Linked DNA regions of Oryzias latipes. The protein of the gene in region 2 purifies or fractionates together with the protein of the main gene of each other region. This does not show direct contact. Links are inferred from orthologs where the notes say so. Each region holds a gene or a part of one and is shown on either strand. Other genes may lie near its edges.

Evidence for each region.
Region 1: the proteins of nploc4 (region 2) and aspscr1 purify together in Homo sapiens (affinity purification with mass spectrometry; 3 studies listed by BioGRID and IntAct, with this or other methods). This does not show direct contact. The link is inferred for Oryzias latipes from reciprocal best matches to the Homo sapiens genes NPLOC4 and ASPSCR1.

What each region holds. Positions count from the first base shown.
Region 1 is NC_019859.2:28,955,934-28,959,747, forward strand, and holds part of aspscr1 (tether containing UBX domain for GLUT4), read right to left. Parts: intron 3,249-3,814; coding exon 3,191-3,248; intron 3,118-3,190; coding exon 3,044-3,117; intron 2,694-3,043; coding exon 2,243-2,693; intron 1,180-2,242; coding exon 1,126-1,179; intron 988-1,125; coding exon 848-987; intron 478-847; coding exon 396-477; intron 321-395; coding exon 254-320; intron 129-253; coding exon 66-128; intron 1-65. UniProt on the Homo sapiens protein: Tethering protein that sequesters GLUT4-containing vesicles in the cytoplasm in the absence of insulin. Modulates the amount of GLUT4 that is available at the cell surface. Enhances VCP methylation catalyzed by VCPKMT.
Region 2 is NC_019877.2:22,101,980-22,105,793, reverse strand, and holds part of nploc4 (nuclear protein localization protein 4 homolog), read left to right. Parts: intron 1-1,289; coding exon 1,290-1,399; intron 1,400-2,265; coding exon 2,266-2,493; intron 2,494-2,562; coding exon 2,563-2,611; intron 2,612-2,684; coding exon 2,685-2,779; intron 2,780-2,866; coding exon 2,867-2,990; intron 2,991-3,108; coding exon 3,109-3,288; intron 3,289-3,376; coding exon 3,377-3,463; intron 3,464-3,706; coding exon 3,707-3,778; intron 3,779-3,814. UniProt on the Homo sapiens protein: The ternary complex containing UFD1, VCP and NPLOC4 binds ubiquitinated proteins and is necessary for the export of misfolded proteins from the ER to the cytoplasm, where they are degraded by the proteasome.

The DNA.
Region 1 (3,814 bases), on a different chromosome or scaffold from region 2:
GCAGATGTTTAAGCTCAAACGGTTCTTTGGAAAAGCAGATGTTGTGGATACTCAGACAAACTTACACAGGTAAAAACTGAGCTGAGCGTCATCCAGGTGAGTCCTGACAAAATGTCTGACAGCACCAACTGCACAAAGGACACAAAAAAAAAACAAAGTTTATGCTTGAACAAAGTTCATTCACGTATGTGAGGGGTTTTCCTCCAGGTTGTCGGAGGGCTGCATCTAATTCCTGGTACGACAGAACTCAAACCTGTCTCCAGAGGCCTGAAGAGGCCCTGTAGGACATGTCTGTCTGGAAACTGGACCCTCAGGACCACCTGGAGAAGCGGAAGCAGAGGTTTTAAAAGAGGGTTGAGGCTTTAGATGGCAGGATGTGGCAGAACTTTGCTCACTTTGGGATATCGTTCCATCTTTTCCTTCATCTGTGCTTCTCTCAGAGATTTAGTCATGAGTGGAGCTTCTTCCATCAGTTTCCTGCAGGAGTGAGATGCATACAAACAAAAGTTGTTACAAACCCATCCAACATTAACGCACTTCATCCAGTGAGTGCCCCAACGCCCCTGTGGCAAAGAGGCGGGGCTAAGTGAACACTGATGCAGACTGAGGGGTGTGTGGTGGTCTTCACTCTTGCTCTCTTGTGCTGATGGAAGACGACGACCAAGCAGTGACCCTGTTAGGCTGTGGTTTGTGCCGTTTGACAACCAGCAGACCTGCAGTCACAGAAGACGCAGCTGGTCCAAAGCAGAGCTCCAGAAAACCTGATGGAGCGCATGGCTGAGCAGCTCCTCTGGCTCCAGCAGAACCTCCACCCTTTCATTTGACCCCACCCACCCAACACACCCACCTCTCACTTTTCAGCTGGGCGAAGCGTTTCCGCACGTCGTCCACCGTCACCTCGAAGAACTCATCAGGCAGATCTCCCAGGTCCTGAGCCTGATGGGGTCTGGAGTCCAGGTGGTAGATGAGAGGCTCCCTATCCACCGGCTGCAGACGAGAAGAAGAGAAACCTGAAGAATGCTTGTTTCTATCAGCTGAGGAACCTCACACCGCACTGGGGACAAACGAGCAGATCTGCAAATGAATGAGTCCAAACCTGAGGATGAGTGAAAAGCTGGCACTGACCTCCAAAAACTCCGGATTCTCCTCCTGGTCCTTAAGGTGAGCAGCGCGTTTACCCTGCCAGAGAAGATTCATGTTTGAGCTTTTAAGATTCAAATGAGGGACGAGAAAAGTTATATAATCCCAGCAAAGAACTACAGATGAAGAAGAGTGAGCTTCATCAGCTGCAGGGAAACTAAAATGAGGATCTATGCTCTTCTGCAAAGCTCATCTTCTCCATCAGTCTGAGATCTTCACTGATCTTGATGAAGAGGACAGAGCTACTCTTCATCAGAAGATCAAAGCCAACCATTCCACTATCTTTCAAACTCCCCGTGACTCTGCAATTATCTTCTGAGATGACTGTTATCAGTAGGATCTGCAGATGTGATGTTCTGCTGCATGTTCACCTACACATGATCTCCTAAACCCATCGGGTTCTAAAGAACACACGAAAGTTTAACAAGTCAGGCTACCAAGGAGTCGCAGCTTCTGCCAGCAGAACCCTGAAGCATCTGAGTGCAGAGATCTTTAAACTTTGGAAAACTCAGAATTAATTAACTTCATGAACTTTGTTCGGAGCATAAGGCTAGAACGGGTTTTTAGCGGGATGGCAGCTTAACATCAGAACTTCTATGAGAGCAGATAGTTTGGTTCCGTTAATAAGCATCTTCCTCTGAAGCAGGCCGTGCAAAAGGAGGGTGGGCGGGGCTTGACAGTCATCATTTGGCGCTGCGTGCGCAGCGCCAAATGATGACTGTCAAGCCCCGCCCACCCTCCTTTTTGTTCTGGTCAAACCTTCACACACACTATAAAAACTCAAAATCCCATCCAGAACGATCTAGAACCTTTGTCATCTGTCCACAAACTCAACGAGACTTCCTTTAGAAAACACATCTTTCAAATGGAAAAACACTTTTTCCTTAAACAAGTAAAGGGTTCACATGTTTACAAAGCTCTTGCTAAAAATGAGTCACTAACTATTTGTTTTCATTCCATGGTAAAACTTTATTTTCGCACCTTAAGAACTGGATTTAATTTCCGACCCAACAGAACCAGTGTCCCGGTTCCTGCTGCCCCCCCTTTTTCCCAGACCCCCCCCCACCCCCTGGTTCAGGATGCCTCTCACAGTTCGGCTCACCTTGGTGCTTGGACCGTCGCTGCCTTTTGCCTTCTTGGCTTTGGGGGATTCCACCACAGCAGGGAAACCTGTCCCCCCACCTGGACCCCCAAGGCGCTGACCCCCCCCAGAAAAAGGAACAAAGGGAGCCACGGGAGCTACAGAAGAGGAGGGCTGAGAGCTCGCCTGCGATGGTCCTGCTTGCTCCTCCTCCTCCTGAGCAGGTGGGGGAGTTTCTGTGGGGGGGGGTTCGGGCTGAGCGTCCCTGTGCTGAACAGAAGTGCTGCTCATCAGCGTGGCAGGAGGTTCTGATGGGTCAACGGGGATGGAGCTTTCAGGCGGGGCAGATGTGGAACCTTCCGCGGATGACGGAGTGGGATCAGACAGAGAAGGTTGGCTCTGCCTGGTTACCATGGCAACAGGTGTGACTGGCACAGCAGCATCTTCATCTTTATCCTTCCTTAGCAAAAACCTGGAAGAGGCCTCACATCTCATGATCTGCAGGTTTTTACACTCAGCAAAGCATACAGACAATTTATATGAAATGAATGAAAGGTTTTAAATGAAAACAAAAAAATGAACAGAATGCATAAACGCCTTCAACTGATAATGAAGTGAATAAAAAAACCACCACAAGATCCACAAACCAACTCTGAAGAAGTTCAAACTGTTTTTTAAAAACATTGTCTTCAGTCAGAGCAGCCTTCCTCTTTCAGCAGGTGGGAACGCTCACCTGAGCTCCGCTCCTCTTCCCACACCTAATGTGACCCCCCCAACCAAGCGTCCAGAAATGAACTGGCCCGTTGTTTGTTTGGGGCCTACCTGATGATGGCACTTCCTCCGGTCAGACCCAGAGATTTCAGGCTGGTCTTCTTCAGCGCCTCCTCGCCGCTCACCTGCCACACAAACAGCTGCGCTGTAATCCCAACGGCTCTGGGGGTGAGTCTGGGCTGAAGGAGAGCCTCGTACCTCGTCCCGCATGTAAACACAAACTGGGGTGGATCCTGATCCGGACAGGTCGGCCTCCCTGAACACATCCAGGGACAAAACAGGATAAAATGATGAAGACTCGAGGCCGGACCCCTCCCAGCATTCTGAGGTTTTGTTCTGACCCCATAAGACCGTATATGTGGGCATTTTGGTGGGAGATGAAGTGCAGAAATGATTTTAAAGATTTCTATGAAATGTTTTGTTAAAGCTAAAATTTGTGCATTTTGGGGGGGGGGGGGGGGGGGGGGGGGGGGGTTAATGGGAGGTAGGCGGGGCCAACAGGGCTTTGAAGTTTACTTTTTGCCACCTACTTTGTGAAGGGAAGCAGAGAAAACCTCAAAATTGTGCCTGTCCTACCATCCTCATGAGAGATTCTGATCATTAAACTGTCAGATAACAGTGAGCAGAGTTGGAATTATGAATTGCAAATGTCAAAATTCACTTTATAAGAAGTTCACCAACTTACTTGACTCCACATTTGGTTGATGAGCAGAAGACACAAAACATGACTAAGCTAGAGGATTTCAATTTTCTGTCCTGTGTAAACCTGCTGGTCTGCAGCAACACTGGAACCATGAAACCAACACCGCCTGTGAAAGTCTG
Region 2 (3,814 bases):
ATAATCTCAGGGCTCACCGGCGCCCCCTAACATGAGGCACGAGAACTGCTGGCCTCACCCAGCGGCTTTTTCGCCGGCGTTTAGCGCTCAGCACAAGAAACACGTCCCTCACATACAGTTATTTATAAAAACAAGCACTGTGCATCAAATATATCTGCTAAATTATGTAAACTCAGCTCATATAGTACAAGTGATTGAACCGACATACAGAGAGACAGCAGCACCGTCTGACTGCATAGGTATTGCGCAATCCAAGGTGAGGCTCAGCGGGCTGGTGCCTCATCACACATCACTTCTTAGTATCTGAACGGCAAATGCGGAAATTCAGCGATTTTGAAAAGAAAAAAACACCCAGAAATGGTAAATTTAAATGGAAAAAGACTGCAAAGCACAAATTACTGATTAAATATAATAATTGAATTTATTTTTTCTCTTTTCTTCCCATAATGACAGGTGAGGCACAGCCTCACCTGCCTCTCCTGACTGCACGTCACTGCTAAAAAACTATCTAGTGTTCAGACACCACGCTCACCACTTTTTTTATTTTTAATGGTGGATATGATGTCATGGATTTCATGAAGTTAAAATCTAATTATTATGAGCGTTTTGCAACGATTATTTACAGTATGACTCCACTGTCTTCTGAAGATAAAAATGTTGATGGTTTATTTAAAAAAAACAAAAAAAAATTGGCAAAAATTCTTCCGCTGCAATGCATTGTGGTCTATATTTGTTGATCTAGTGAGCATCGATACACACTGGTTTTTCGCAGAGACTTCTGGGAAATTTCTAGGGCACTGGATTTTGGAATTGTAGATTCAGACAGTTCTAAATATCGCGTGGGCACTATAGAGGGCAGTATGTAGGGCTTACGGTGGGAATTGGGACACAGCGTCTGTGTTCACCTGAGAACAGCGACTGTTTTTGGATAATAGTGAGGATGGATGACGACATTTGCTCTCTGACTTGAAACCAACTCTTTGTGGTCATTTAATTCCTGTCAGAACAAGCGACATATGAATGATAGCAGGGAGTTCCTTCAACGCAGTGAGATGTGGGGCTGGTTTTCTGTCAGGCACTGTGGTGGACGGCCTTCCCGTCCCAGCAGCTGAAAATTGGGTTACGACAAGCTGCTCTACAGGAGGCTCTGCTGTTTTTGTTGTACTGCAGCAAGAATTCAGTATTTACAAAGTTGTCTTTGGGGAAAACACTGGAGCTTGTACTTTGTTTTCCGTTTGACAATATTAAGAAATCTTGTGTGTCTTCTACAAACTTCATCTCTGCTGCAGGTGGCCAAAGAATTTGGCTTTAATTCCAATGGATTCTCAGTTTATCTGAACCGCAACAAGACCGGAGAGATCCTGTCTCAGAACAAAACCCTCAGCTTACTCAAGATTAAGTAAGTACAAGAAAACTCTTCCTGAATCAACATTACAGCCGTTGTGTTGAGAATGACAGCGTAAAACCCTCTGCACACTTATCGTCGGAAACATTCAAGCTGCATCTTCCAGTGCTAGAAGACGCGGATGTGCCTGATGACTGTCAGATTTCATACTTCTGTTGGTTCTCCAGCTGTTTAGTTCAGACTTTGAGCTTCGTCTGAGCATCATCGGGTCTTTTCTCAGGCCGCTCCTGGTCACGAGAATCAAAGTGGAAACTGTTGATACATTTACATCTCATCTCCTTTGACCCTACACATGTTCTGACACTCTCTGTTGAATGGTTCAGAGGTATAGAGAGGAGCTGTTGCTCAATGGTCCAAAGTCAGGTTTGCATTTGGCGGGACGGTGTACCGCTCTTCCTGCTGCTCTCCCTGACTTGCTACCTGCTCACACCGACACAGGAACCTCGAGTTTGTTGAATATTTAGATTTATGGACCGTTGTTTAGAGGAAGATGAGATGCCAGAACCGGCGAACCTGAAGGCAGCTGTCAGCAGAACCAGGGCAGAACGTGACGCTGTCATCCGTGCAACACCAGGTCCAACCGAGAATTCCCATCATAGGAATGAGCGGCTGACAGAACAGAACATCTGTGTGGAGAACATCCTTCCTTTGATCAGCCGGATTTTATTTCTGAGAAGCTACACTTCCTTTATTAAAATGAAGATAAAGTGAAGCTCAAAGTATTTTAATCTTCACACAATGCAAGCTGCATTCATTAAACTGACTGGTACAGCTAGTACATCTTGTTTTAATAATCTAAGTTTTGGGTTGTACCTGTACTTTAGTCGGGTTGTCATCATTTTTTGATCTTTTTACTGTAGGCATGGGGACATGTTGTTTCTGTTCCCGTCTACATCTTCTTCCTCCGGGGAAAAAATGGATACAGCCATCCCGCACTCGTCTTCATCACTACCGTCTCTCTCCTCCTCCTCTTCGTCATCCTCCTTGATCCCTCGGTCCTCCTCGGCCCCCCAGGTCCAGGAGGACGAGATCGATCAGTATCTGGCTAAGCAGGATGGCAAGATCTACCGGAACAGAGATCCACAGCTGTAAGAGTCCAGATGCTGCTGTGTTACGGAATCCGACGCTGGAAGCTTCACCGTTCTGTTTTCTTCCAGGTGTCGCCATGGCGCCCTTGGGAAATGTGTACACTGTGTTCCATTAGAGGTAAATCCCTCCTTTCTCTCTAAAAACCAAACTGCTTTCCTCCCCTAAACATCTGTTCTGCATCTGGATGCAGCCTTTTGATGAAGACTACCTGAACCACCTGGACCCGCCGGTGAAGCACATGTCGTTCCACGCCAACCTCCGGAAGCTGACTGGTGGAGCAGATAAGTAAGTGAGGAGCCGCTCGTCACGGTCGGCTCCGGTCCTCTGGTTTTCCTGTCAAACTCACCGCTGACCGGACTCCCCTCCCCGCAGAGGGAAGTTCGCCGCTCTGGAGAACATCAGCTGTAAGATCAAGTCGGGCTGCGAGGGTCACCCGCCCTGGCCAGACGGGATCTGCACCAAGTGCCAGCCCAGTGCCATAACTCTCAACAGACAGGTGTGTTGTCAGAGCACAGCTCCGTGAGGCTTTCTGCTCTTTTGGAAAAACCAGCACTGGGCTTCTGTGGCTCGCACAAAACAACCACTTTGATAAGTTTGTGTCCGTCTTGCTTTAGAAATACAGACATGTGGACAACATCATGTTTGAAAACCACACCATCGCAGATCGCTTTCTGGACTTTTGGAGGAAAACGGGCAGCCAGAGGGTGGGATACCTGTACGGCAGGTACACGGAGCACAAAGACATCCCTCTGGGTATCAGAGCCGAGGTGGCTGCCATCTACGAGCCCCCACAGGTGGGAGTCCCAGCCGACACGTCCCCCTCCCCTCCAGGATGAAGGGAAACTCTTTCTTTGTGTAACCAAACCTTTGTATGGGTTACAGACTGCCAACCAGAACAGCCTGGAGCTGTTGGAGGACCCGAAAGCTGCAGCTGTGGATGAAATCGCAGCCAAACTGGGTCTCTGCAAGGTGGAGCTGTTTCCTTCTGTGATCCTCAGATTCTCCTGTCTGCTCAACAGTTCAAGGCTTTGACCTTTAACCCTAGTTTCTGAATCGGGTCATTAAATCACACTTGATTTCCCTTTTTCAAAATATGTAGTAAAAATGTTTCTGAGTATAAACGGTTGTCTTGCTGGTTTTTATAGCTTTGCCAGCAGAAACAGTCCTTGTTCTCACCCAAATGACACATGGATTCCCTCTTTCCTGAATTAGGTGGGATGGATTTTCACCGACCTGCTGTCTGAAGATACAAGGATAGGGACGGTCCGTTACCTGAGGAACCAGGTAAATAACCCAGAGGGCCAAAGCTGCGTTCCTCCA